Arabidopsis thaliana: one gene and its partner. The protein of the gene in region 1 purifies or fractionates together with the protein of each later gene. This does not show direct contact. Each region holds a gene or a part of one and is shown on either strand. Other genes may lie near its edges.

Region 1 (15,187 bases):
GCTGGACATCATATAATTAATCTAGTAAGAAAATCATAAAAAGGTACCGTCTCTTCATGCTTATTTATCTTAAGCCGTGGCTTATAACTCAAATCAACGATCTGCTCCCAAAGAAGTGGGATTGAACCTCGAACCTAGTCAGTGAAAGCAAGACAGTTACAATCGCAAGAAATGAAAGGGAACCTTAAACACAGAGAAAGAGAAAAGCAAGGTATAATAAACTAAGTTGAGAGATGAAGAACCCAAATAATGAAACAGTGCATTTTCAAGCATATCAAATTTTTAAAAAAACAGTGTAACCATTCAGCTGAAATGAGTTACATAGGATATTAGTTTTCCAGGGCTATGAAAGAAACCCCACACAGCATTTCATATCATCAATAAATATAATTCCACAGCTACTGCAAATAAACCAGTATCGAAGCATGAAACTATCATTTTAAGAAGACACTGCACATGAATGAGATCCTAACAAGGATATACCTGCAATAATGAGAACTTGAAACCATTAATCTCCACTATTTGTTCAGATTCGACAAAATTAGCAGCGTCCCCTTCAAGATTGGCTCCTCTTCTCCACATACGTGTACCTGGGATGCCAATTCCAATAAGACTGTCAAACAAACATGGATGCCACTGAATTTTCTGGCAGAACTAATTAAACCCTACCTAGACGTCGTGTACAGCGCCTGGACATTATCGATACCACAGCAGGAGAATTCTTGAGCTTTAGCTCAGCAACTTGGTAACTTAAGCCTTGGTTAATATCAAACAACATGTATTGGAGTACTGTCTATTAAAAAGCATATTTGAAAAACGCAACATTACATCTATAAACAGTCCAAGAACAAGCTAAACAGAAGATTAAGAAGATAAAGAAAAGGATATTTCCTTGAAGTATAGGAATAATAAAACCATCCAGCTGCCACAATAAGAGAAGGTTAGATCATTAACGTTTGACAAGGAATGAAAATCAATTAAATTTAAACCACACAACTTACTTTGCATTCAATTAAGTCCTCCAAAAGATGCCAGTTCCAAACATATCGAGGGTCAGCCTGACAAGCAAATAAACCTTCAGCCTAACTTTAACGCGATGAACTTAAATTCAGACACTGGATCCAAAGAAGATACTTTTTTTAAAGATAAAAAATCATACGAATAAACAACCTGCTTCCACATAGGCTTACGATTCCAACCTTCAGCTAGCTTGCACCTTCTTTGAAGACTGTAAAATTGGATGAATGTATCTAACTCAAGCCGCGGAACTACTTAAAACTCTTAATATCATGAGATAGTGAAACTTACTTCAATGTTAGATCTGTTTCATACGAAAAATACAATCCAGGGGTTGTCTCAAGTGCTTGTAACAGAGTCCTAAAATATGTTTCGTCCTTTTTCTGCAAAAGCCAGTGACCAAGTTCTTTAGACAACTTAACTTGTTCATAAACTCCAAAACCCCTACAAAATCGTATATCGATTGAAATTCACAATAACCTTACTTCTTGAGCAGTAGCAAACCTCAAAGCCTCATTGCAAGGTAAGAATTTCATAGCCGTAACTCTAAAAATCGGTAAACCGAGAAAATTTCCAACTTCCTCCCGAGACGTTATAACTAGCAAGTATGTTCCTATATATGAATGAAATCGAAACCAGCATATAAAAATCACTGTTGGATCCCAACACAGTACATAGAGAAATGTTGAAAAACATTTTCCACCTGCTAAGAGCCTAATAGTTCCTCCTACGCCATAGATAGTAGAGACTCTAGTAGGACTCCCAGAAGATGCGTTTTCTGCAGTAACAAAGAAACAGTAACATCAAATACACTACAACAGCCTAATACTCTTGCTTCATATCATCTCTTGCCAAATTTTGTCTTGAAACCAAAACAGGGAAGGGAGAGAGCTGAGAATGAAGAGTGGATTACCATCAAGAGGTTTGATATTGCCATCGCGCCGATTGACGGAGAAGCCTTCCTCAGGCGATTCGATGGGTTTGACGACGTACTTGTCAGGAAACTCCAGAAGCTCGAATTGATCGTAGAGCTTGAATCTACTTGTAGATGGAGCAATCTCCATTAACGTAAATTATGAGATTTCAAATAAATTTTTCAAAATAGGAAAAATAATTTGAAGGATGATGATGATGATGATGCTGTTGGAGTTTGTTCAATTAAGAACTGGATCAGGAGAAACAAAAAAAAATGTCAATGATTGTTCATTATTTTTCTTCAAAGTTGACTGTTGCCACGTGTCTCTCAACCGGATACTAGTGGGCTTCTTTGGGCCTGAAATTTAAACTGTGCCCAATAGTCTTTCGTCCGGACAAATTGTTACAGTAGTTAAATCAAAGGCCACCAAAACTGTTACGTAGACATTTAAAGCGAATCTCCATCACCTACCGACTCTTCCTTGATTTGATTGTTCCACATGTAGTAAAAATAGAGACTTGAAGGTAATTTTGCCTTGAGGGAACATGAAGAGACTGAAGGTTGATATTTTTATTAGAAAGTTAAAAAAATTATTTCAGTTAATATTATATTTATAGGATATATATTAAAAGATATATCACGGGCTTATATTTTTATCAAATACATGAATTTTTTGTTTTTAAGATATCAACTACAACTAGATGTATCATAATCCCCTTGTTAGATTTATTATTCTTTTTGTCTTAATATCTTATAATAGTTAATAGTCATTAATAAAGAAGTAATAGCTTTCATTGAAGTGAGTCTACTCTAAATAGGATTTCCACAGTAGGAAAACTAGACATCAGGAAATCTATTCAATCAAGACGACTTATGTAGTAGAGTAATCCCCGAAGGTATTGAGCAACTATAGATATATGTTATTGATTATTTAATGTATGATACAATTCGGGATGATTTTATAATTAAAAGATTTGAAATTTGAAATTATATTTATTTTGTTAATATTGTTAGTTTTGGTTAGCTTTTAAAATTGTGTATTTGTATTTTTATTGTTAAATTTTATGATTTCACCCGGTATATATCATCCCATATTAATATTAGATTTATTTTTTGGGCTTTATTTGGGTTTTCGATTTAAACTGGGCCCATTCTGCTTCAATGAAACCCTAATGGGTTTTGTTTGGGCTTTGGATTTAAACCGGGCCCATTCTGCTTCAATGAAGGTCCTTTGTCCAACAAAACTAACATCCGACACAACTAGTATTGCCAAGAGGATCGTGCCACATGGCAGTTATTGAATCAAAGGCCGCCAAAACTGTAACGTAGACATTACTTATCTCCGGTAACGGACAACCACTCGTTTCCCGAAACAGCAACTCACAGACTCACACCACTCCAGTCTCCGGCTTAACTACCACCAGAGACGATTCTCTCTTCCGTCGGTTCTATGACTTCGATTCTCAACACTGTCTCCACCATCCACTCTTCCAGAGTTACCTCCGTCGATCGAGTCGGAGTCCTCTCTCTTCGGAATTCGGATTCCGTTGAGTTCACTCGCCGGCGTTCTGGTTTCTCGACGTTGATCTACGAATCACCCGGTAGTTAGCATTCTGTTGGATAGATTGATGAATGTTTTCTTCGATTTTTTTTTTACTGATCTTGTTGTGGATCTCTCGTAGGGCGGAGATTTGTTGTGCGTGCGGCGGAGACTGATACTGATAAAGGTATGATTTTTTAGTTGTTTTTATTTTCTCTCTCTTCAAAATTCTCTTTTCAAACACTGTGGCGTTTGAATTTCCGACGGCAGTTAAATCTCAGACACCTGACAAGGCACCAGCCGGTGGTTCAAGCATTAACCAGCTTCTCGGTATCAAAGGAGCATCTCAAGAAACTGTAATTTTGTTCATCTCCTCAGAATCTTTTAAATTATCATATTTGTGGATAATGATGTGTTAGTTTAGGAATTTTCCTACTAAAGGTAATCTCTTTTGAGGACAAGTCTTGTTTTTAGCTTAGAAATGATGTGAAAATGTTGTTTGTTAGCTAAAAAGAGTTTGTTGTTATATTCTGTATTCAGAATAAATGGAAGATTCGTCTTCAGCTTACAAAACCAGTCACTTGGCCTCCACTGGTTTGGGGAGTCGTCTGTGGTGCTGCTGCTTCAGGTAATCATACGAACCTCTTTTGGATCATGCAATACTGTACAGAAAGTTTTTTCATTTTCCTTCCAATTGTTTCTTCTGGCAGGGAACTTTCATTGGACCCCAGAGGATGTTGCTAAGTCGATTCTTTGCATGATGATGTCTGGTCCTTGTCTTACTGGCTATACACAGGTCTGGTTTTACACAACAAAAAGCTGACTTGTTCTTATTCTAGTGCATTTGCTTGGTGCTACAATAACCTAGACTTGTCGATTTCCAGACAATCAACGACTGGTATGATAGAGATATCGACGCAATTAATGAGCCATATCGTCCAATTCCATCTGGAGCAATATCAGAGCCAGAGGTAACTGAGACAGAACATTGTGAGCTTTTATCTCTTTTGTGATTCTGATTTCTCCTTACTCCTTAAAATGCAGGTTATTACACAAGTCTGGGTGCTATTATTGGGAGGTCTTGGTATTGCTGGAATATTAGATGTGTGGGTAAGTTGGCCCTTCTGACATTAACTAGTACAGTTAAAGGGCACATCAGATTTGCTAAAATCTTCCCTTATCAGGCAGGGCATACCACTCCCACTGTCTTCTATCTTGCTTTGGGAGGATCATTGCTATCTTATATATACTCTGCTCCACCTCTTAAGGTAAGTTTTATTCCTAACTTCCACTCTCTAGTGATAAGACACTCCATCCAAGTTTTGGAGTTTTGAATATCGATATCTGAACTGATCTCATTGCAGCTAAAACAAAATGGATGGGTTGGAAATTTTGCACTTGGAGCAAGCTATATTAGTTTGCCATGGTAAGATATCTCGTGTATCAATAATATATGGCGTTGTTCTCATCTCATTGATTTGTTTCTTGCTCACTTGACTGATAGGTGGGCTGGCCAAGCATTGTTTGGCACTCTTACGCCAGATGTTGTTGTTCTAACACTCTTGTACAGCATAGCTGGGGTACTCTTTTGGCAAACCTTTTATGTTGCTTTTTTCGTTATCTGTTGTAATATGCTCTTGCTTCATGTTGTACCTTTGTGATAATGCAGTTAGGAATAGCCATTGTTAACGACTTCAAAAGTGTTGAAGGAGATAGAGCATTAGGACTTCAGTCTCTCCCAGTAGCTTTTGGCACCGAAACTGCAAAATGGATATGCGTTGGTGCTATAGACATTACTCAGCTTTCTGTTGCCGGTATGTACTATCCACTGTTTTTGTGCAGCTGTGGCTTCTATTTCTTTTCCTTGATCTTATCAACTGGATATTCACCAATGGTAAAGCACAAATTAATGAAGCTGAATCAACAAAGGCAAAACATAAAAGTACATTCTAATGAAATGAGCTAATGAAGAGGAGGCATCTACTTTTATGTTTCATTAGTGTGATTGATGGATTTTCATTTCATGCTTCTAAAACAAGTATTTTCAACAGTGTCATGAAATAACAGAACTTATATCTTCATTTGTACTTTTACTAGTGGATGAGTTACACAATCATTGTTATAGAACCAAATCAAAGGTAGAGATCATCATTAGTATATGTCTATTTTGGTTGCAGGATATCTATTAGCATCTGGGAAACCTTATTATGCGTTGGCGTTGGTTGCTTTGATCATTCCTCAGATTGTGTTCCAGGTAAAGACGTTAACAGTCTCACATTATAATTAATCAAATTCTTGTCACTCGTCTGATTGCTACACTCGCTTCTATAAACTGCAGTTTAAATACTTTCTCAAGGACCCTGTCAAATACGACGTCAAGTACCAGGTAAGTCAACTTAGTACACATGTTTGTGTTCTTTTGAAATATCTTTGAGAGGTCTCTTAATCAGAAGTTGCTTGAAACACTCATCTTGATTACAGGCAAGCGCGCAGCCATTCTTGGTGCTCGGAATATTTGTAACGGCATTAGCATCGCAACACTGAAAAAGGCGTATTTTGATGGGGTTTTGTCGAAAGCAGAGGTGTTGACACATCAAATGTGGGCAAGTGATGGCATCAACTAGTTTAAAAGATTTTGTAAAATGTATGTACCGTTATTACTAGAAACAACTCCTGTTGTATCAATTTAGCAAAACGGCTGAGAAATTGTAATTGATGTTACCGTATTTGCGCTCCATTTTTGCATTTCCTGCTCATATCGAGGATTGGGGTTTATGTTAGTTCTGTCACTTCTCTGCTTTCAGAATGTTTTTGTTTTCTGTAGTGGATTTTAACTATTTTCATCACTTTTTGTATTGATTCTAAACATGTATCCACATAAAAACAGTAATATACAAAAATGATACTTCCTCAAACTTTTTATAATCTAAATCTAACAACTAGCTAGTAACCCAACTAACTTCATACAATTAATTTGAGAAACTACAAAGACTAGACTATACATATGTTATTTAACAACTTGAAACTGTGTTATTACTACCTGATTTTTTTCTATTCTACAGCCATTTGATATGCTGCAATCTTAACATATCAAGTCTCACGTTGTTGGACACAACATACTATCACAAGTAAGACACGAAGTAAAACCAACCGGCAACCGCATTACATAACATAACCGCATACCATTTGAACGGTACAACACTGCCGTTAGTACAAGCCATACATAGTTATATCACACACATATAAAACACAAAAAACCTAAACGCGCTACATTAGACCCTAGTTAAAATCCACGCTGCCAAACACGGAACCTACAAGCAGGTTACTTATTAGATGATATATAACAGACTGTTGCAGCGGACACTAGTAGCTCGTAACTACTATCACTTGTTGGTGAACTTTGACTCATCGATCTCAATCCCTTCTTCCTCCGCACGCTCTCCACCAGATTTTTCCATCGTACTGAGTCCTCCTTTACGTCCCATCTCCTTATAACCCTCGTGCCCTAGCTGCTCCTTCCTCGCCTCTCCTCCTTTGTGTCCCATCTCCTGATAACCCTCGTGCCCTAGCTGCTCCTTCCTCGCCTCTCCACCTTTGTGACCCATCTCCTGATAACCCTCGTGCCCTAACTGCTCCTTCCTCGCCTCTCCACCTTTGTGACCGATCTCCTGATAACCTTCATGTCCTAGCTGCTCCTTCCTCGTCTGCCCTCCCTTGCTCCTTCCTAACAAGTGTACATACATGCATTCCATGAAACATGGAGATCATAGAGTAAACTTTAGGTTCGTAATAAGTAGATTAATCTTATCTTAAGATATTAAGATCTAATGTTTCTAGCCTTATAAAACCATTACTTACGAACTAAAGAAAATAAAAAGAGTGTGGAAAAGTTGTAATTTACGGCAATACCTTCAGCAAGATGCTCTTGAGCTTCGAGGCTGTGGCCACCGGTGCCACCTGGGACGACGGTCTCTCCTTGCTTCGCCTTCTCATCAAGCTCTTCTCTGCTCAGTTGCTTTGACGCCATTTTTTGAAGAAAAAAACACGAACGATATGTAATTAAGTAAGTTGCTTTTAATTTGGATCTATGTTCCGACACAGATACGGACGACGTAATTATTCCTATAAATAGAAACGTTTGTGTTCCAAAGGAAACAAAAGGAGAGAAAAAGTGAAGTGCTACGTGGAAGAGAAGACGCGGCGAGACTAGAAATAATGGGCTTTACGGAGATGACACGTTGATGCTTACTCAGTCAACTTGCTACAGTTATTAACGAGCTGCTTGACACGACTCCGATTAATCTTAATCCATTTTCTGTTTCCCCCAAGAAATCAAGATAATTACCCACATTTGGGATTTTTTATAAAACTGTTTTCCGTGTTAGGTCTTTTCAATATCAGTTAGATAGTACTATTATTTATCTATTTGAAATCTAAGTGCAATATTTCGGATAAATATGTTTTAAAGTTAAAAGTTTTATATTTATTCACATCATAAGAAAAATATAGGTGTTATTAGAAGAAGAGATTTATAAATCGATCACACATAATAACTGGGAAGAGAAGGTAGCTTCGAGGATTAGTTGGTTTACTTGTCGACAAAGTCATATCTACCATGTAATAATTAGGTCTTTTTCAAGTTTTGAGTTTGGAGACATTTATTTGAGTTTGACTTTGGTCTTATTATATGCTTGGGCTATTGTACACGTTTGACTCATGCTGATTAGAGTATGTATAGTTAAATATAATAATTAAAATGTTAGAATCTGGTGTGGATTAGACTTTCGCGACATTGTTGAAAATTTGTGAATGCATCTATCTAAAAGTTGGTTTAGTGGAGTTTCTATGTGCACAACTGAAGTACATCACTATATTTGGACAATATTGAATTATATTTGAATTTATTGTCTTGAAGAATAATTTGCAACATTACATACCAAATGTTGGCTCTCTTACGGAGAGCGTATAAGCGCCACTTGACGTGGGCTTATATGGGCCCGGTTAAGGGTAAATGTTTAGTGGCCACAATTCTGAAACAGCTTCCCTTCTTCGGCCCATACTGGAGTACAAAAGTAACGCAATTAAGAAAAAGCGTTACAGGATTAATCCAAAACGGCATCGTTAGAAGAAGAGAGCACACATAGCGAAAACCCTAGTACCTTTATTTGAGCCAACACTTTCATTTCTCTCCTTCTCCACCAGTTTTCCCCCAATCGCTCCTCCTTAAACCCTAACATTTTTGCTTCCCCTGTTTCGATTCTCGAGAGTTATCAGAGATGAGTTCGGACGATGAGAGAGACGAGAAGGAGCTGAGTCTTACCTCTCCTGAAGTCGTCACCAAGTACAAGAGCGCCGCTGAGATCGTTAACAGTAATACACCCTCTCTTTCTTCCTTTCTTGTTTTAAGTCCGATTTGGATTTAGGGTTTTGAAGGTGTAGCTTTATCGAGTATTGATTTCTGTTGGGTTTTCAATTGCAGAGGCGTTACAGGTTGTTTTAGCTGAATGCAAACCAAAAGCTAAGATTGTTGATATCTGTGAGAAAGGAGACTCTTTTATTAAAGAGTGAGTATATCTCAATTTGTTCTTAATGTAGATTCGACCTTGGATTACTCTTAGATATTTATGTGTTTGTTCTTTCTTCTGTTTTTGTATTAAAGGCAAACAGCAAGCATGTACAAGAATTCTAAGAAGAAGATTGAGAGAGGTGTTGCGTTCCCTACATGCATTTCTGTGAACAACACTGTTGGTCATTTTTCACCGCTTGCTAGTGATGAGTCTGTGTTGGAAGATGGTGACATGGTTAAAATGTAAGTTGTCTTCAAGTAATACCTGTTTTTAGATGTTTCTGTATGATTCACCTGTGTTATTTCTGATGTTGTTTTGCGTTTCTCAATTGCAGCGATATGGGATGTCATATTGATGGGTTCATTGCCCTTGTTGGTCACACACATGTTCTTCAAGAAGGGCCTCTTAGTGGGCGTAAGGCTGATGTTATCGCTGCCGCAAATACTGCAGCTGATGTTGCTCTAAGGCTCGTACGTCCTGGAAAAAAGGTATCATCAGTTTTACTCTTACATTAAACTTGAAACTATAGGCTTTTGGTACTATAACTGCCTCTTGAATGATTGTCAAGGTTTTACAAAACCCAGATGATGAACACTTAATAAATGGCTATGGATTATTATCCATATGATGCTTTTTTGTCATAGTTACTCTGATGGGATTTTTCTTATTCTGATTTTTAGTCTGATCCCTCGTTGGATTTACTATGAGATGTTGGAACTTTGTCTAAGGTTTTCCTCTCTTGGTCTTGCACGATGCTTTTTTTTTTTAGCGGACTTCAAATGTAAATTGTTTTGGGAAAAGATTTCTGGATGAAGACCGTAATTGTTATGGATTCGCATCCAAATGAGGCCGTAGTTACTCTGATGTGGGAAAGTTCTTTAAAATAAAGTTTCTTGCTACGAGTTTGTAGTTTCTTGTTTAGTACTACAACATATTGCAATCAAGACATTGATATTCTGTTTTTCTTATCGCAGAACACTGATGTAACTGAAGCTATTCAGAAGGTAGCTGCAGCTTATGACTGCAAAATTGTTGAAGGTGTTCTTTCCCACCAGCTGAAACAGCATGTGATAGATGGAAACAAGGTTGTGCTTAGTGTATCCAGCCCTGAAACAACTGTTGACGAAGTGGAATTTGAAGAGAATGAAGTCTATGCAATAGATATTGTGGCAAGTACTGGTGATGGCAAGGTAATTTCTTTTGTTTATCGCATCCCGATCACTATTGGTGAACCTTTGTCTATTGCCATTGTTCTCACAATCTTTGACTTTGCAGCCAAAGCTATTAGACGAGAAGCAAACAACTATTTACAAGAAAGATGAAAGTGTTAACTATCAGTTGAAGATGAAGGCCTCCAGATTCATAATCAGCGAAATTAAACAGAACTTCCCCCGTATGCCATTCACTGCAAGGTGTCTTTTGTACCTTCTGAAGCATTTTATATTCCTTAAACTATTATCTCACTTGCTAACGTTACCTGAGAGTATTATCAATACAGGTCACTGGAGGAGAAAAGGGCACGGCTTGGACTTGTGGAGTGTGTGAACCATGGTCATTTGCAACCATATCCTGTTCTTTACGAGAAGCCTGGTAAGGATGATGAAAGGGTTTTGAATCTATAAACCTCTTTTATCTGAATCTTGATATCAAGGCTCATGTCGTTTTGGTTTTCTACCAGGGGATTTTGTTGCTCAGATTAAGTTCACAGTTTTGCTGATGCCAAATGGATCAGATAGGATCACTTCACATACACTTCAGGAACTTCCTAAAAAGACCATCGAAGACCCTGAGATCAAAGGGTGGTTAGCTTTGGGCATCAAGAAGAAGAAAGGTGGTGGAAAGAAGAAGAAAGGTAAGAACTTAAAATAAATTTCCAGACTTTTACCTTATATGACGTGATCCACATGTTGATTAAAAAGGTTCAATTTGGTGTTTTGCAGCCCAAAAGGCGGGAGAGAAAGGAGAGGCTTCAACAGAGGCTGAGCCAATGGACGCAAGTAGTAATGCTCAAGAATGAGTAGGAAGATTTGTCTTTGTTTCTTTTAAAGAATTTTTGAAACTTGAGGTACCTCTTTCGTTGTATGTTTGGGTTTCAAGAGAGTCTCTTCTTAAACAAAAAAAAACAAACAATAGTTTACCACCTTTGTGCATATTTTTGCACAAAGCACTTTTCATCATCATTTCTTTGCTTGTCCTAATCTTATCTCATTCTCTAATCAAAAATACTTATCTGGTTTCAGGCTATAACAATAACTCTGTTTAGAAACACTTGTTACCAACAAACTACTCTTTGAATGTGTTTACGTGGTAAGGATTTGATCCCACAGAAGAGAAATATTTGTGACAGAAGAAAAAAACTCAGCTCTTCAATAATCGAAGCTTATACAGATTTTTGGATTGGTTGATTTTGAGATTGTAACGAATAGTAATCAGAATTTCACTTAAGAAATTGTGATTGAACCCTCTAAACCACAGAGAGGGTTCTTGACGTGGTCCATAGTTCTTCAGTGGGGCGGCTTGTGGCTTCTTTTTCATTTTTCCAGAAAACCCCATAAACCTCTCGCTCTCGGGAATTTGATTGATTCCCACGAGGAAAAATCAATCTTCCCGGAAAATGGCAGCTAGGTTATTGTTCCGTCGAAGTTCTCAAATCCTCCGATCAATTCAACGAAATCCTCAAATCTCATCGTCATTCGAATCACCACCTTGCCCGATTTTTCACTCATTGACCACCGCCTCACCAGATCCATCGCGATTATCATCCTTAACCTTCCTCCGATCTCTCTCCATCGCTCGTCGCGGTCCAACACGTCCTAAGAAAATCGATATCGGAGCCAAAGCGCGTCAGATGCAGAATCGCCGTTTATGGACCTACGCGCTAACCTTCAGCTGCATCGCCGGATTCGTAGTTATCGTCCTTAACCAATTTCAGGATCAGCTTGTCTTCTACCTAACGCCATCAGACGCTATGGAGAAATTCGCAGAGAATCCAACAAAGAACAAATTCAGACTCGGTGGTTTGGTTCTAGAAGGTAGCGTTGCGCAGCCGGCGGCGTCACAGGAGATGGAGTTTGTGATCACTGATCTGATCACTGATATTTTGGTTAGGTATAAAGGATCTTTGCCGGATCTGTTTAGGGAAGGTCATTCAGTTGTGGTTGAAGGATTCATTAAGCCGTATACAGATGAAGTAAGGAAGGAAGTTTCTACAAAACCTATTTCGAAGAAAGCTAGGAACCTCGATTGTTTCTTCTCGGCGACTGAAGTTTTGGCTAAGCATGATGAGAAGTATATGCCACAGGAAGTTGCGGCGGCGATTGAGAAGAATAAGAAAATTATTGAAGCGGCGGCGACTGAACAAGCTGCTGAAGTTGCGGCTTCTTAGATTGGTATAAACTTCATTCTTTTTAAGTTAATCAAAATTTTCCCCAAGTTCGAGCTTTTGGTGAGTATTGTTCATCTTATAAGGTTATATTTGATTATAGTTTCTGGAAAAGAGTAGGAAGATTGGAATGTTATATTCCTGGAAAACAGAGATTTGATTTTTGAGTCTATTTGAGAATTAAGTGGAGAAATGTGATACACTATACAATAGCTTTGTTTGATTCCACAAAGCTATAAGCTAATCTACTTTCTTGTTGTGTTGATCAAATAAAGAACACTTTGACGAGGGATCAAATATGCTGCTTGATTCATTGTGTTGTTGGATGTTTTGTTTGTTGTTGATGTGCACACAGATTAGAGAAGCTATGTTTTGTTGCTGCACACAGATTAGATTGATCTAGTGAATCTTATTAGCTTCATCAGGTCGTGGGTATATAATTGTAAACGTATCACCAAAGTTGTAGCTTGTGTGACCTTATTCTTATCATGACTAGGTACTATAGCCAAAAGAGTTGAACATACAGGTCTTTCAGAGCTTCCTCTTAGTTGTTCTGGAGGTTCCAAGCTCTTTCTTTGTTGTTTTATAAATATGGGTTGAGCTTGTTGACAATCTTGAAGATGGTCATGCATTCCTTTTATGCATCTTATGTTTCAACTAGGCAATTCTGGCCCTGGAGATTTCAAGTTTGTACTTTCTGAGTCGATTAGGTGCCTAGTTTTTGCCTCTAGAATCATGGCATTGGCTTCTGTTTTGGCACTTCTCTTAGGCTTGTTGGTTGATAACCAACTACTAGTCTACTAATGTAGCTGTAGTTTGAAGTGTTCCGCAGTTACGCTATTGCTTTTGCTTTTTTTAAGTGCATCTTTATATATGCATCAGTCTCTCATTGTATAGCAAATTTATCGTGGGTGGTATATGATTCAGTCAACAAAAACTGACTATCAAGTATGGAACGAGTGGTATATGATTGAGTCATCAAAAATACTGACTATCAAGTATGGAACAAGAGCATTACGATATTTGTCACTACTATATTCGATTGCTATTGTGTGCTTGGTCCATTTTGAATATGGGACAAATCACCATTACTATACTTGCTGCCCTATACTAACTAGATTATTCCATATTCCTCGTAGATAGTTTTTGTTTTTTGGTTCAGAGAAAGTTCAGATTTTAGGCCTATAAGTTCTTTTGGTTGGGGACCATATCAAGTTAAATCTCTCACTATATGCATTGTGGCGGTTCGGCCGACCTGTCTAAAATTGGGCTTGTTCAAATCCTGCCTCAAATCCTGCCAAAGCGTGAGTTATATACATATACATTGACACTGAATCATTCCATCCAGGGCCGGTTGGCTGGATCCAAAATCAGTCGTTACCTATTTTTGGCAATCTTAAACTTATTGATTTTTTTTTTCTGACGTTTCACAAATCATCATCATATGTGAAAAACCAAAACATCTATATTAAGAAGAAAAAAAATATTGTTACAATTTCTGAAAATATTTGGTTCATTTAGTCCTTAAAAATTCTAATTACCAAAAAAGACAAATATATAACAATTGAAACACATGTGTGTTATCAGGAGAATTTGTATGTTTTGAGGAGGTGTGCATCATCCGTCTATCAATACCCTGACAAGGAAAACCCTAATTTTTTTTGGCCCAAAGGGTTTTATACTTTAATCTCATACTCCGATTCATTGTCGAAAAACGATGATGCATAATTCAACCGAAGAATCGGAATGGGAGGTGAGACCTGGTGGTATGCTCGTCCAACGAAGAGACGACGCCGCTTCCTCCGACCACAAACCTCTCCAGGATCCCGACTCTGCTTCCGCCGCTTTTGCTCAAACCATCAGAATCACTGTTTCTCATGGCTCATCGCACCACGATCTTCATATTTCTGCTCACGCCACTTTCGGTAACAAAACTCTCAGCTCCGTTTCTGATCCATCGCCTGAAAATTCCAAATAATCGAAGCCTGAGAGAATTTAGCGTGATTCATTATGAAATTTTTCTTGCTCTATTTAGTTTTTGTTGAAGTTGTGTTAGTGTAGTTGAAGATTGATATGTTTAAGCTCGAATGTGATAACTAGGGGATGTGAAGAAAGCTCTTGTTCAGAAAACTGGATTGGAAGCTAGTGAATTGAAGATCTTGTTCAGAGGAGTTGAGAGAGATGATGCTGAACAATTGCAAGCTGCTGGTGTTAAGGATGCGTCTAAGCTTGTTGTTGTTGTTGAGGATACGAATAAGAGAGTGGAACAACAGCCTCCTGTGGTAACTAAAGAGATGGAAAAAGCTATTGCTGCTGTTAACGCGGTTACAGGAGAGGTCGATAAGCTCTCGGATAGAGTGAGTTTTTATAAGCCTGTATTTCTTTTGGAGATGACGGAAGGATTGTGCTTAAGCTAGTTTTTTTTGGTAATTAGGTTGTTGCTTTAGAAGTTGCTGTGAATGGAGGGACGCAAGTTGCGGTGCGGGAGTTTGACATGGCTGCAGAGCTTCTTATGAGGCAGCTGCTCAAATTGGATGGCATTGAGGCTGAAGGGGACGCTAAAGTACAGCGTAAGGCTGAGGTTAGTTTTCTTGCTTTGTTAAGCATGTTTACACGGTAAGAGTGTTAATAGAGTTGGAAGATATATGAGTTGTGGTTTGTGTTGGCAGGTACGTAGAATCCAAAACTTGCAGGAGGCTGTGGATAAGTTGAAGGCAAGATGTTCAAATCCGTTTGTGGATCAGAGCAAAGCTGCAGCTGTAAGC
Region 2 (15,739 bases), on another chromosome or scaffold:
TCCCATGCTAAACCTCCTACAAACACTTTGGTGTGAGTCGTGTCTCCGAACGGTGATCGGTAATAGCTTGTATTAGACATATATTATAAACTGTTTGTTGATTTGTTGATGATGATGGTTGTGATGATATACACCGATAAAAAAAATGGTTTGAATAAAATTTAATGAATGAATATATGAAAATGGGGTCTGTCTAATTAAAACATGAGCCAAGAAAGAAAAGAAGAAAAGATTGTAAATGAGGGAAAGTTAGCTTCTTTATATCGTCAAATGCCAAAGAAACGACTTTTTCATTTTCCTCTCTTTATATTTTTTGGTTGCAAATTGGAACTCTTAAACGATGCCGTATTTTGCCTCTGACCCTACTCTTAGAGATGGATAGAGAGAGACTTGGTAAGTTAATGTAAGAAGGAATTAGATTTTCTTTGGGGTTTTGTAAGAAGAGTGACAAGGCAAGCACTGAGTATGTCTTCGCTGGCTATAACTTGCCAGGTTTTAACATTATAGCTCTTCCACAACTTTTCTTTTTTTCCTCCATTAAAATACCTTCTTTAATGTTTTCTAATAATATAGTGATTATGGCAGATTATCCGTAAAGTCAAGGTATTATTCCGAGTTGAAACAGAGTTTTACTAATCACGCAATTAAGTTGTTTGGAATCAGGATTTTTTTACTTCACAATTTTAAAGTCAACGATAAATATATATTTAAAAAGAGTTAGATCAGAAACCCTATTTGACATATAGCGTTGCCATGCAATCTCGACATAACTATTTTTTATTTATTAACTAAATTTTCTTAATAATTCGTAGCCAAATGTAAAGTAAGTATGTAATGTGAATCAAAGATAAGAATTAGATAATACTAGTAATGATGTTTATGCTAATCAGATTTCAAATTCCTTTTGTGATTTTAGTGGAATTCCATTGTTATATCCACCAAAGCCATAAAAAGTACATAACTGGTGAAAAGATAGTTTTGTAGTTTGAGTATATATATATCGATCCCTGTAGAGATTTCTCATCCCCCATTTAGAAAATTGACTATTTAATATTAGACTAAAAAAGACGGCAATATATAGATATATACATATGACTATGAGTAGCTATAAAATATTAATATAAATCCATATCCAATTGTTTTTATTAGTACCAAGCGTAAAATTAAATTGAGAGTTTTATATGAATAGAGTACATACAGTTTTGATCGTTTTGATGTGATTGTATAATTATGTCCATTAATATTCGAGTAGTGAATTAGTTATGAGTTCTGACATGAAGTTAGAGACGACGTTTTAATCACAACATGCTTCTTGCTTCATTATTTGATTCTGTGTCAAAAACATTCTTCTTGCTTATGATTAGTTAGTTTTATTTATCAATTTATCAAAAAAAAAAAGACTATAACTCGCTAAAACTTATCAGATACACTATTTTCTGATAATAATGATTTTTTTTAGGGAGATAACAAAAGAAAAATACATATACATGCGTTCACATACGTTCATATGTAAATATAGTTATAAAAAAAAAAGTTAAATAAGGCTATAGACATGTATATGTAAATGTAGTTGTAAAGGGTTATCTAATTATATGAATTAAAGTGGAGGGCAAAAGAATTGAGAAGATCACATGAAATGAGCAGAGAAACCAGCTTTAACATAGTCCCCCGCACGCATGCAGCCACCCAATAACGACCATCCCCTCTTTTTATCTAATGAAAACATTAAACCCCACCATCATCATCTATTTCACTCCCATATGCCTTTAACATTTCAGCAATATCGGTGTAGTTGACCAAAAAAAGTGATTAGTAAGTTACGTTTTCATTGGTCTACTAGAAAACTGGTTTTGTTAAACGTAATGTGAATCATGTACATATAAAATTGCTGAATATTTAAGAGAAGTTTACATGAAAATGCTTTGGTAGATGACAACTTTTTTCAGTGAGCCAATACAGATATTTTGTTAAAGAGAGAAAAGGTTGGGCCAAATTTGCCAGCATGGCTAAAGAGGAGACAACTGGAGTTGGAGTTTAAAGAAGAAACAGAAGAGAATCCGTGAACTGGCAGATCCCTCCACGTGTATCTCTCCTTCTGTCATTCTTCATTTCTTCCCTCTCCATTATCTATTCTTATTTTAGCTGTCTCTCTTAACACAAAAACTAATTTGGTCATTCATTAGAAAGCTCACATGTAACATTTTCAATCTTCTGAAAACTTCAGCATTTTGACATGGTAACATAAAGATGATCAAAGTAATTTTGAACTACTAGTGTTATGTAGTATTACAAGTTATTAATTCAGCTTGTATTCCAAAGGGGTGGTGGCGCAGTTGGCTAGCGCGTAGGTCTCATAGCTACTGAGTGATCCTGAGGTCGAGAGTTCGAGCCTCTCTCACCCCATTACTCTTTTTCCTTTTTTCATAAAACCCATGCTAGGCTCAGTTTCAATAGCTTTTTATTACCTGGAAGCCCACATACATTCGTAATACGTTATTGATGCGTTAGCGTTACAAAGGCCGAATCACCTTTTTATTCAGTTGGTCAAGAACAAAAGTTTTTTGACCCATTATAGGCCCATTTACTATTTCTATCTAGTATCTACAATCATCCACACGGTTTCTTATTTGGCGATTGCACTGATCATGTTCTAGATTACATGCAATTATATATGTTCATACTTGTGAATACCAAAGTTTCGGTTAAATTTCACGTGCTTTACTCAGTTACTTTTTTAACCGGCAAGATTACATTAATCTTGCAAATCAAATCAGAATTCGACATTCATGAGAGGGATTTATTTCTTAGTCAAACAAAAGAGGAGTTTTTTTTTTTTTTTTTTTTCATTCCAGAAAAGAATCAAATATCAACATTTTAAAGATAGTAATTTCTTGATGACAAAAAAAAAAAAAAATAGTAATTTCTTTATAAAAAAACTACAAATATGAGCTCAATTCAATTAAATCAATTGGTATAACCGGTTTAATTGAAAATTGTACAAAACCGAACCGAAAAGCTAAGAGCGAGTCTAAGCGAGAGAGCAAAAGAGAAGGCACTGGAAGTTATCGGAATTTGCATCTTTTTGATTCCGCCGTTTTGCGTCTGACGTGTTCACGGCGGCAACCTCCATGGACGACGGTGACCTCGGTAACAACCACCATAACTTCCTCGGTGGAGCTGGTAATCGTTTATCAGCCGAATCTTTGCCGTTAATCGATACGCGTCTTTTGTCCCAGTCAGAACTTCGCGCTCTCTCTCAGTGTTCTTCTCTATCTCCATCTTCTTCAGCGTCTCTCGCCGCTTCCGCCGGTGGAGACGACGATTTGACACCAAAGATCGATCGCTCCGTTTTCAATGAGTCCGCTGGTAGCCGGAAACAGACATTTCTCCGTCTCCGCCTTGCGCGCCACCCTCAACCACCGGAGGAACCTCCTTCGCCGCAACGTCAGAGAGACGATTCTTCCCGTGAAGAACAAACGCAAGTCGCGTCGCTTCTCAGATCTCTGTTCAATGTCGATTCGAATCAGAGTAAAGAGGAAGAAGACGAAGGAGAGGAAGAGCTCGAAGATAACGAAGGTCAGATCCATTATAACAGCTATGTTTATCAGAGACCTAATCTTGATTCGATTCAGAACGTTCTGATTCAGGGAACCTCCGGGAATAAAATAAAGAGGAAGCGTGGACGGCCGAGGAAGATTCGGAACCCTAGCGAAGAGAATGAGGTTTTGGATTTAACTGGTGAAGCATCTACGTATGTGTTTGTAGATAAAACTAGTAGCAATTTGGGAATGGTGAGTAGAGTTGGTAGTTCAGGAATCTCCCTGGATTCAAATTCAGTGAAGAGAAAGAGAGGTCGTCCTCCAAAGAATAAGGAAGAGATAATGAACCTAGAGAAGAGAGACAGTGCAATTGTGAATATTTCTGCGTTTGATAAGGAAGAGTTAGTAGTGAACTTGGAGAACAGAGAAGGTACAATTGTGGATCTCTCTGCATTGGCTAGTGTTTCAGAGGATCCATACGAAGAGGAGCTGAGGAGGATCACCGTTGGGTTGAAGACAAAGGAAGAGATCTTAGGTTTCTTGGAACAATTGAATGGTGAATGGGTGAATATAGGGAAGAAGAAGAAAGTTGTGAATGCTTGTGATTATGGAGGATACTTGCCTAGAGGATGGAGACTTATGCTCTACATCAAAAGGAAAGGTAGCAATTTGTTGCTGGCTTGTCGCAGATACATAAGGTATAATAATGTTTATGTTCTTCACTGGTTCTGTTTCTAGTTGGATTATAAAATAGACCTAGTATTGGCTGTGGAATTGGTTATAGCAAAACTAACACTTTGTTACTATTGAAGATATAGTTTTATAGGATTTGGTATATGATGTTTTAGTTTCTGCTGCTAGACTTTTGATTGTCCCTCTTGTTTGTTTCTCCATCTTCTTGAACATGATAAAAGATGTTTACATGAATTAAGGGCTGCTACTGAAATTGCTTATAGTTCGTTTGTGTACTCTCTGCCGTTCTAGGATTCTAGCTGTTGTTATCACTTTTAGTTCAGGATTCTGAAAATTTTCTCTTTTGTTTTTGATTATATAGCCCTGATGGGCAACAGTTTGAAACCTGCAAGGAAGTCTCCACATATCTACGATCACTTCTTGAATCCCCAAGCAAGAACCAACATTATTACTTGCAATCTGACAACAAGACTCTAGGACAACAACCAGTGATAGCTAACGAATCTTTACTAGGTAACTCTGATTCCATGGACTCTGAGACAATGCAGTACCTTGAGAGTGGAAGAACCAGCAGTGAGGTGTTTGAGGAAGCAAAAGCCGTAGAGAATGGCAATGAAGCAGATCGAGTGAAAACCAGTCTGATGCAGAAAGATGATAATGCAGATTTTCTGAATGGAGTTGAGGACAACGACGATGATATGAAGAAAAGAGATGGTAACATGGAGAATTTGGCGACTCTATCGAATTCAGAAATGACGAAAAGCCTACCGACAACGACTAATGAGCTTCAACAGTATTTCAGCTCACAAATCAACCGAGTTCAGTGACCATTTCTTTTACCTGGAACAAATTGTTTTCTCATTCTAGTTCAGATTTTATATTTTATGCAAACTAAAAGCGTGTTGTAGCTAACTACAGGATATAGAATTTGAAAGGGCCATGTACAAAACATTTGACAGAAACCAAATTTTTTCTTCAAAAGAAAATTTCTTTGAGTTTCAATCTGTGATTGATTTGGATTTGGATTTGGATTGGCATAAAAAAAATCTATGATTTGGATTGTGTTATATAATATAGAAAAGAACACAAACCCTTAAAATAATGGACAAGAGGACATGTCTTTCTCCGTTTATCACGGTCAGCGTCGTTAACCTTTTACGTTATTGACTAGATCGGGGTTTAATAAGAAACATATATTAGTTTTAGGTTCTTTCTGTGTAAAAACTAAACCTTTGTGGCTACTTTATAATTTATAAAACTTATGTTTCTGAGTTTTGTTGACTAAAAAAAGTAGATCCAACGGCTGATATAATACCACTATGAGAGGATCCTAGGGTTACTACTAATCTCGAAATCAATCAAATCAAAGCATCCATTTTTGATTCAGACTTCAGAGAGACAGAGAAGGAAGAAGAAGAAGAAGAAGAAGAAAAAACTATGGAGAATGAGAGGGAAAAGCAGGTTTACTTGGCTAAGCTCTCCGAGCAAACCGAAAGATACGATGGTATTTTCCGATTTCTGGATCTCTATTCAGAAAATGATTTGTTCATGTTTCTGAAAAAATCCGATCTTTTATTGCTCCGATCGAAATTGTTTTTACATTTCCATAGATTTTCTTTGTAGCCCTTTACCGATTTGTATGTTTCTGGGCTGTTACTTGATCTGGACTTTTAGATGCGACCTTTAAGTAATTTCTTGTTTAATGTTGTTTAGATACTCTGATCACTCTTGATCTTATCTTGATATAATTTTATACTTACTGTTGTCGAATCTCTTAGCATGAAAATGAAATAGATCTACGTTTTTGGAAGCAAATTCAAAGATCGGATATTTTTTTTTTGTTGGTGATGATGCAGAAATGGTGGAGGCGATGAAGAAAGTTGCTCAGCTTGATGTGGAGCTAACTGTGGAAGAGAGGAATCTTGTATCTGTAGGGTACAAGAATGTGATTGGTGCAAGGAGAGCATCATGGAGAATACTATCTTCCATTGAGCAGAAGGAAGAGTCCAAGGGAAATGATGAAAATGTCAAGAGGCTTAAGAATTATCGTAAGAGAGTTGAAGATGAGCTTGCTAAAGTTTGTAATGACATCTTGTCTGTCATTGATAAGCATCTCATTCCATCGTCTAACGCTGTGGAGTCAACTGTCTTTTTCTACAAAATGTGAGTGTCATCTTTATTATACTCTGACCATTCATGTGATATTTGTGTGACTAAGAATGAGATCATTTCCGTTTGACTAAAGTTAAATGTTTAAGTTATTACATAGCTACCACTCTTGCTTGTGTTCTTCCTGAAATGATGATGATTCATGAACTTTTCCTTGTTTCACTGTTTTGACTTTACGTGTTTTTTTTTCTTTCTATGTAGGAAAGGAGATTACTATCGCTATCTTGCGGAGTTCAGTTCTGGTGCTGAACGCAAGGAAGCTGCAGATCAGTCTCTTGAAGCATATAAGGTCCTTTGATCATGTTTATTTGTTTTCTTATTTTTGTGCCACCCCTCTTATATTTGAGCTGGGAATAACCTAAGACAAGTCTTGCTTTTTTCGTACTGGGAATGTAGGCTGCTGTTGCTGCTGCAGAGAATGGTTTGGCACCCACACATCCAGTTAGACTTGGCTTGGCGTTGAACTTTTCAGTTTTCTACTATGAGATCTTGAACTCTCCCGAAAGGTTTGTTTTTGTATTTTGGATTGAACATAATAGTGGAATCTGTGGTCATTTTCTGACACTATGAAACTATGTATTGTACAGCGCATGCCAATTGGCTAAGCAAGCATTCGATGATGCAATTGCTGAACTTGACAGCCTCAACGAGGAATCATACAAAGACAGCACTCTTATTATGCAGCTACTTAGAGACAATCTCACCTTGTGGACTTCAGACCTTAATGAGGAAGGAGGTATTCTTATTTTCTTTTGTTTCCCTATCTCATGATCAAATGGTTTCCTTAGAATCAAATGAGCTGTTAAGAGCGTTACCTTGGAGTAAAAATGTTGATGTTTGGGAACTCGTAACCATTAACCATCTGTCTATATTTGAATTAAACCGTCCTTTATGCATGTATTGCTATGTAGATCTTTCATTTTAGTTTTGAAAGCCTCAACAAAAAACATACCAATCTACCATCTCATAGTTATTGGATTCTAGCTAATCTTGTAAAAGTTATATGTTTGTAGCAGAAAACATTACTAGTTTCTTGTTTCTCTTCCAAAGCTTTTTCACTCACCTTTTTTTTTTCCCCTCTTAGATGAGAGAACCAAAGGTGCTGATGAGCCTCAAGATGAGGTATGAAAAGCCAGTTTTGTTATAAGTTAAGCTACTTACTGATTTTTCCATTTTGCATTGACAATTAGACCACTCATGGAATTACTGAATCATTGCAGAACTAAATCCTCTGTGAGAAGAGAAACGACTCTTGCTGCATCCTGAATCTTGAAGTGAAGACAGTAAGTGTCGTTGTTTGTTACTCGAATGTGTAATTTTTAATCTATGTCTTTCTTGATGGTGTTTTCCAGATTCTTGAACTTTTCACAACACAACACTGCGTTGCGTATCTTCAACCCTCTTATGATGTGGTTGAATTCTGTTTTACGCTTAGTTTGCTTCTTTTGTTGTTGAATTGAGCCAGCAGGCATGATTTGGGTTTTTGTTTATCAGAATATTAGGCGTATCATGGTCTCAAAATTAAAAACCAAAACAGACAAAGCTTTATTCGAAGTTTGTAATAACTAATAACTCCTTGCAAAAATCATGAAAGTCTGAATTCAAGAGGCTCTTAATAATTTGCATAAGTGATCCCAAACTTCACAACTTTTCAATTTGTGGATGTTTGCCCTCTTTGTGGCCAAGGAATCATCCTCAAGTGTGTTTCTCTACGGTGGTTTGGTCCGTAAGTGTGTGACATAATAATGGTTTGGTTCTCCCAACATGACCCTCAAAAAGGATCTCTATGCTCTAAATATGGGACTCTTGTAAGTTGTAATTGTAACCAAATGCTATCACAAACTCTCTAACTCGTACCAACACTCATTGTGTCTAATCCAATCGAGAGCCCTCAAAGTCTAAAACATGTTAATCAAACTGTGAACCAGTTAATCCTTATAGAATCAGATATCTTTTTGTCAACCATCTAAATAACATTTTTGTCACGAATTGACCACTTCCCTCGAGAGATTTTGTAGTGTTTTCTTTAATATTTTTATATGTCCAATGAATAATAATTTCATACATCTATCGAAAACTTCAATTTTGAGCTACAAATGATCAATTCAAGTATTCACTTGGCCCAACTTCTAAATTCTTTAGGTGAGTTGTTGCTAGCACAACAAATGCTACAACTGTCAAAAGCAAAGAGACAACACCTTCAAATATTAGGTTTGACTAATAAACAGAGGATCATGGTGACGATCTTTGCCAACTCTCACCAAATCAACCTGAAACCTTCAAAACAGATTTGATGCTATTGGATCCAGCGCCAATAGGACACTTGTCATTAGCTCATTTACTTTTCTATTCTTTAAAATGATGAGTGAAATCGAAAAGTCTTGAGCAAGAAATACAGATTACAGTTTCTTCTTCTCCAAGCATCTATTGTTTAAGAGAGAAAAAGAAGAAAAGCCATGGAGAATGAACAATCAACGCACGTTCACTTCGCGAGTCTCTCTTCGTCAAGCGAGCGCTACAATGGTACTTTTTTTCCAGAACAACTTCTTGAATCTTAACATGCCTTCACATTACTCAATACTCCAAATGTTTTGTTGCAGAAACATTTGAAGAGATAAAGAAAGCGATGAAGAAAAGTGTTCAGCTTAAAGCGGAGCTATCAGCAAAGGAGAGAAATCTTGTATCAGTGGGGTACAAGAATGTGATTAGCGCAAGGAGAGCTTCATTGGAAATACTATCATCCATTGTGCAAAAGGAAGAGTCAAAAGGAAATGAGGAAAATGTCAAGAAGCTTAAGAATTATCGAAACAAGGTTGAAGATGAGCTTGCCAAAATTTGTAATGACATCCTGTCCGTCATCAATAAGCAACTCATTCCATCGTCTACCACTGTGGACTCCTCTGTTCTTTTCTACAATATGTGAGCGAAAATGTGTTGTTGTGGTGCTTGAGGCGCAAAAGTGTTGCACTGTTTTGGCTATACTTTATGTTCTTTCCAGGCTGGCAGACTTCAGTTCTAATGCTGAAAGCAAGGAAGCTACTGATCAGTCTCTTGATGCATATAAGGTCCTTGGCTCATGTTTGTTTTTGTGCCTTGAGCTCGGAACAAAATAAACTGAACAATATGTTTTGTGTTTTGGTAATGGCAATGTTGGTTGTTGTTACTGCTGCAGAGACTGGTTTGGTACCAACAGTTCCAGCTATACATGACTTTGAATTGGACTTCTGTTTTCTTAAACTCTCCTGAAAGGTTCCTTTGCTTACATGCATACATATGATTATTTAATGAAATCGGTGTGGTGTTACTTACTAACAGTCTGAATCAGTGAAACTGTGTGTTGTACAGTGCATACCAATTGGCAAAGCAAGCGTTCGATGATGCAATTAATGAATTTGACAGTAAGTGATGAATCAAACAAGGACATGACTCTTATTATACAGCTACTCAGAGACAATCTCAACATGTGGACTTTAGACCTCACAGAAAGAGAGGAGGTAATCTTTTTATTTCCCTATCTGCCTCCTCTGATGATAGATAGATAGTTTCCTTTGGAATCAATATAAGCCATTTTTGTGAAATTTTGTTAGTTCTTGTACTGTTATGAGGAGCCTAAACTTTGATTCGAATGTTAATGCTTGGGAACATATTTACGGCTTTGTGGATCTTTCATTGCTTAAACGCCAAGTTGTTGAATTCAAGCAAATTTTGTTGCAAGAAACCAATTAGCATACTAGTTTCTTGTTCTCTTCCAAATCATACACTCAACTTTTTTTTTGTTTCCTCTTATCCAAAAGTGGTGATGAGCCCCAAGAAAAAGGTATGAAAAAGCCAGTTATGTCAAAATTTAAGCTACTTGAAGATTATATTTTTCATTTTGGCATTGCTAATGGAGTTACTATACCATTGCAGAACTGAATCTTGAATCCTATGCGAGAAAAGAAACGACTCTTGATGCATATCCTGAGTCAAGATGGGTTGGAATCTGTTTTACACTTAACTTGCTTCTCCTGTGTTGAAATTTCAGAATATAAGACACCATTTGGGGTTTTGTTTGTCGGAGTATACCTAAAGAATCATTGCTTGTCACCGACGTTTCTTCATTCTTTCTTTTTATAGCCAAATGAATACTATAATCCCATTGGAGCACTGAGGAAGAAAACTCGAGAATTGCTTGGTACATCTTCCTCTATAGCAGTTGCAAACAGTTCCACAAATAAAACACAATGAAAGTTTTTCAACGCCTAAGCTAAGTCTTTCAATAATGAAACCCTTTTCAGTGATAAATTTCTGCAACTATTTGCAACATCTCAATCTCTGAAAGACTTTGCTTAGAATTATAACAACAAAACACAACCAAATTGTAGTAAACTGATCCATCTTATTTTTAATCCTTCCAAGGATAATGACATTTACCAACAACAATGATAAGGATAACTTTTGCTTATTTTGTTTGGCAATGTAAATCTCTTACAAATAGCAAACACTTTGGTTAACATATATATATGCAAACCTAATCCAAAAGTACTTTCACATATTTGTAAAAACATCCTAATATTTATATCCCGATGATTAAATATAACAAATCAACCAATTATAATAACAAAACCCCCCATCACCCACCACAAAACTCCATTCCCCACTCCTTTTTTGTTCATTTTCTTATCGTCTTTAAAACACACAATTTACACAACGAACGCACATAAGCTATAGCAAGAAGCAGCTAATCACAAATTGAAACTTAGACCGGTCCTAAACCGAACCAGAATCATCAGAGTCGAATCCAGTGAAAACAAGCTTTTTTGTCCTGATGAATCTTTGATTGAAATTATTATATAAGGAACCCATCTCCCCGTAAGTATCCTTTCAGAGAGTTTGTCATCTGAATCGGACCACGACACAAGATATGTCGTCTTTACTCTCTCTTCTCAATGCTTCAGCTGTTAATTCCTTTGCCGCTTTCTGTGGATCTTTCACTCTTCTCGCTATCTCCATTGCCTCTTCATTTGTCATCACCTATTAACATGATCATTACAACAAAACAATCAGACAAAAATGGTCTCAAAACACTCATTTAACAAGAGATGAATAATATATACAGAGAACAAGCCATTATTACCTTCCAGATGCCATCACTAGCCAAGAGAAGAACATCTGTCTGGCTATCTACAGTAGCTTCTTTTATGTCAGGCTCTGAACTCAAGTGTGTCTTAAGTCCCTTATCTCCAAAAGCACGAGACACAGCTAATTGACCATTCACCCGAGGAACATCACCTGTTATTAAAACATCACAGCCACATCATCCTCCTTGTCAACAAAATCATTCTATCTTCATTAAACATTCAATACTCAAAATAAGTTCTTTACCTGGTAGATTGGATACAAATCCACCTCTATCTTCAATACTCGACCTTTCAGTACGAGGCTCATGATCTGTACTCATCTGCGTTATAGCGCCACCATGAGAAAGAACAGCTCGTGAATCACCAACATTAGCTATCCACAACTTTCTCCCATTAATCAATATAGCAGTCACAGCAGTAGAACCACCACGACCCAAGTCAGAACTATTCGATAGAATCGCTTGGTCCGTCTTCTCATAAGCTTTTGCAATAGACCTTCGAGGATCAACCCAAAACTCTCCCTGCATAAAAAAAACAATACACTTAAAGCTATGCACATGTTCATTAACCCAAGAACAGTAGAACAGTAACCTTTTTTTTTGTTTTTACCTCCTTAAGGATATTGGAGAAGAGACGTTTCTGCAAGTAAGCAGGGACACTATCACCCATATGACCATCATAAATAGCAAAAAGACCCAATTCATGGTCTTGGATGTTGATAAAGTTAGCAACATGATAATCTTCCATTGGATGGTTAGCTTTTCCTTTCACTAGACTAAAACCATACTTGATCATCCCTTCATCACTTCTTCCTTTACCTGATCGTGATGATGATTGTCCTCCCACAACCTAAAAACCCACACCAATAAGATCAATCAAAACACAAAGCTCTCAGATCTTTCACTTCTAAGACAAAATTATTTCATCTCATAACAAAAAAAAAGAAATTGTTATATAGCCAAAAATTCGATAATCATTACCTCAGAAGCGGAAGTGAAGCAACAAAATTTTCCCATTTTTTTTGAATCGAAGAAAATTTCTTCGATTTTTGCAACCTAATTGAAACTTGCGGAGATTTATTCAAATAAACAAAACAATCTGCAGAAAAAATAAATTCAGAAAGCGAAATTAAAATCTTCATTGAGCAGCTGGGAGATGATAAGAAAGAGGGGATTTTTACCTGGAAATTAAAAACCCTAATTTGGTTTTCAATTTTTTTTTGTTTGAGGTACTCTCAACGATAAATCTACAAAGTCTATGCGACGAAGTCTTCGCTCTCTTTTCGTTTATGTCTTTTTCCTACGCGAAATTATATATATATATATATATATTTTTATTCAGTTGAAAGAAAAATAAAAATTGAAAGCTATCTGTATTTTTTTAATATTGCATCAACGTCCTTCATATATATAAATATTTACTTTACGCCTCATATGAATGAATTTTAAATTGTGACTATAATAGATTTCGATTATTTAATTTGGGTAACAATAATTGCTTAACCTTTAAATTGTAGTTTTGTTTAGGTGATGAATTTGTAACATACATTTGCGTTGTATTAAAGTAAAATGAGGGTGTAGATATGACAATAGGAACTTTGGGATAAAAGTGAGAGGTTTTGGAATTTTGGGGGTGAAGGTTAAGATAAATTAGGGGAAGAAAAGGAGAGAGAGAAAGGGATGGAGCAAAAAGGAGTGATCTGGTCAAAGAAAATAAAAAAGCTGCCATTTAAAAATTTTAGTCTTGGCTATTTGGCATGTTGACTTCCTCTTCCTTTACATTTATGTCATCTCCTTAACAATCCCTATTTTATTTTTTTATATGCGTTTTTACTATTCAGACATGAAAAAATGTGCGAAACTATTTAGAAAATTCATATATATTTTATTCCTGATATACAAATATCCAGAAAAATAAAACACAATCCTTTGGTTTTTGATATTTATTAGGACGTATTCCGCAAGAGTTTTATTTAATATTACAAAATATAAAACATTTTTGCTTAGAGAGATTATTATGAGTAAGTAAAAAGTAAATGAATGTTTCGTTTTCACACAAATTAATGCATGAAATTAGCAGTTTCGTAGAAAAACATATCCATTTTGGATTTGATGGCATAACGATTGCGGTAATTTTTACATTTTCTTTATACAACTAAAAGTTCAAGAACAATTATGAAGTGCTTAATTGAGTAAAATATAAAATATCAGGTCTCTTCCCCATTACCAGAAATCTCAAAGTATCAACGAATGCGACAAGAAAGTGGAAAGGGTCAAAGGCTTCGACGCGTTTACTAGCCATCTTTTTGTTTCTCCATTTAATGTGATTCGCACACATTTCATGACTTTTTGACCCTTAATCTAGTTTATTTAATCAAACACACATCAATTTAGCTACCTTAGCTTCCTTATTTATACATACAATTTTGATTGCTAGCCTAAAACAAACGATTTGTTGCTTAAAATAATAAACTTGTTCGTCTAAACCTCCGTGATATGTTCCTCTAAATTAGGTTCATAGGCCCCTAGTCATGTACAGTAGAACATCATGTACTCATTTTCAATTGTGGGCCTTTTATGAGCCCATTTTCTTACTATGTAAAGTACTGGTACTGTATGTTAATGAGCCCAACAGCACAAGAATGTGAAACTAGATACAATGTATGAGTTTGTATATATATACAAATACTGATAGTTTTATTCTATGCTTATATGAATGGCTTCTGATCTACATGATTTGTACTGCTTTCCACTTTCTTCCTTGTGATTCTTCTCAGGTCTCAGAGAGCACTCCGCTTGGAATCAGTGTTCTGTGATGCCAATAATTCAACAGAAAACTGTTAACCTCAAGAGCAAATGAACCACTAATAACACCAACGTATACCAAATCTACAAATATAGAAACAGCTATAAAGATGACAAATAGATTTAACACTTTTGATTGATGCAAAGGTTTTATCAATGTTTTTTGAAGACAGCTACTGGATCAGAAACAGATTGCGGATTATTTCTCTTAACAACATTTACAAGTTTTTGAAACACTAGGATATAGTTATTCCACGTTATAAAAATGAGATAGTTGATGCAAGCAGCAAAATGTTTATGTAAATCGGTGAGCAAGCTTTCACAAATAGTATGTATCTGAAAGTGAGAGAGAGATAGGGAACTGACTTTGTGTGGTAGACTTCAATCAAATGCATAGGGATCATCAGCATATGGGTTGAGGGAACCTTCTGAAAACAAGTCTCCAATATTTGCAGAGTGAGGATGATCGGCCATTGCTGTTTCCTGCGCTTAAAAGACCAGAATAATATGCAGTTAAATCAGAAATGTTTTTAGAAACCTAGCATCATCCATAACTTCTTGGCCTGAAAACTTCTACATTATACTCGCATAGACATAAAGCTTGGTTAAGCAGCCCTAAGTCTGACCTCCTATTGTTCCATTATGTCTGTCAGTTAATCTATTTTACTATTAAGGAAGGTGTGACGAAATGAATATAAAACGTTTTGTGAAAATATGATTTTTCTCCTATCATCAAATCTACTTTTTTACTCTCTGCTTCAACACTAGTTGACTGATGTGAGGGTTTGTTCATTTCAAAGCATCAGTTAAAAGTAGTGTATTTGTATTTTACCTTCGCGATGATTGTGGGGGTCATCAATTTGGGTGTCAACCTAGTACTGCGTCTTTGTGGCTCCTGTTGCCAAACAATGTAAAGTTAGATATCTTGAATATGTCTATATAGCAGGATGGACAAGCTGACCTGAAACATTGTTGTCTGTCTTGTTTTTCTCCGTTTAGGTATCCTCCCATTATTCGTTTCAACCTCATACTCACGATGAGTTACCTGCCAAGTTGAACCACAAGCCAAACAATGAGGTTGATTTCAATGTAAAAATGCAAAGCTTCATATGTTTACCTTGCTATGATGCTTTGGATTTGTCGCTTCCTTCAATATATTTGACACAGATGTTACTTTTGCCTTTACAAAAGGAGATTCCTGCGTTTGATGATCCATGAGAAAGTGTTAATGTGTTGCCTTGACGAAGCGGAAACGAAAAGAAGAAGAAGATATTTATGATTCTCTGACTGTTCGTCATAATTTTCTGTCCTCACCGTTATATGCTCGCTTCTCTTATTACCACCAAGACGAGATTCTTTCACTTTGACCGACGAATGTGAATAGTCCTACAAGGTAATAAACACCATGTCAATC

Evidence for each region.
Region 2: the proteins of EM1 (region 1) and AT1G22290 purify together in Arabidopsis thaliana (affinity purification with western blotting, with the first as the bait; one study listed by BioGRID). This does not show direct contact.

What each region holds. Positions count from the first base shown.
Region 1 is NC_003074.8:19,207,131-19,222,317, reverse strand, and holds EM1 (Stress induced protein), read right to left. Parts: upstream 7,597-15,187; 5' UTR 7,501-7,596; coding exon 7,383-7,500; intron 7,198-7,382; coding exon 6,857-7,197; 3' UTR 6,487-6,856; downstream 1-6,486. Other genes in the region: SAC8 (SAC domain-containing protein 8), read right to left, coding at 48-134, 484-590, 670-750, 889-922, 1,002-1,058, 1,171-1,228, 1,309-1,400, 1,503-1,630 and 2 more; G4 (UbiA prenyltransferase family protein), read left to right, coding at 3,384-3,534, 3,616-3,660, 3,744-3,829, 4,014-4,101, 4,184-4,269, 4,358-4,444, 4,518-4,583, 4,658-4,741 and 6 more; ATG2 (metallopeptidase M24 family protein), read left to right, coding at 8,750-8,843, 8,953-9,037, 9,133-9,282, 9,375-9,528, 10,015-10,230, 10,316-10,452, 10,539-10,630, 10,692-10,892 and 1 more; G1 (transmembrane protein G1P-related 1), read left to right, coding at 11,655-12,425; BAG4 (BCL-2-associated athanogene 4), read left to right, coding at 14,140-14,347, 14,523-14,779, 14,857-15,003, 15,092-15,187. UniProt on the Arabidopsis thaliana protein: It is thought to provide protection for the cytoplasm during the desiccation stage of embryo development.
Region 2 is NC_003070.9:7,871,034-7,886,772, reverse strand, and holds AT1G22290 (14-3-3 family protein), read left to right. Parts: upstream 1-8,810; 5' UTR 8,811-8,857; coding exon 8,858-8,924; intron 8,925-9,001; coding exon 9,002-9,320; intron 9,321-9,399; coding exon 9,400-9,466; intron 9,467-9,573; coding exon 9,574-9,650; intron 9,651-9,746; coding exon 9,747-9,799; coding exon of another isoform or gene 9,800-9,807; intron 9,808-9,875; coding exon 9,876-9,943; 3' UTR 9,944-10,133; downstream 10,134-15,739. Other genes in the region: AT1G22330 (RNA-binding (RRM/RBD/RNP motifs) family protein), read right to left, coding at 1-80; MBD8 (methyl-CPG-binding domain 8), read left to right, coding at 3,129-4,237, 4,594-5,059; GRF10 (general regulatory factor 10), read left to right, coding at 5,670-5,736, 6,089-6,395, 6,603-6,690, 6,798-6,907, 6,989-7,137, 7,486-7,523, 7,622-7,627; PAPP2C (phytochrome-associated protein phosphatase type 2C), read right to left, coding at 11,277-11,414, 11,518-11,672, 11,766-12,042, 12,113-12,370, 12,502-12,537; ZYP1b (Myosin heavy chain-related protein), read right to left, coding at 14,707-14,808, 15,158-15,220, 15,287-15,370, 15,443-15,523, 15,640-15,711.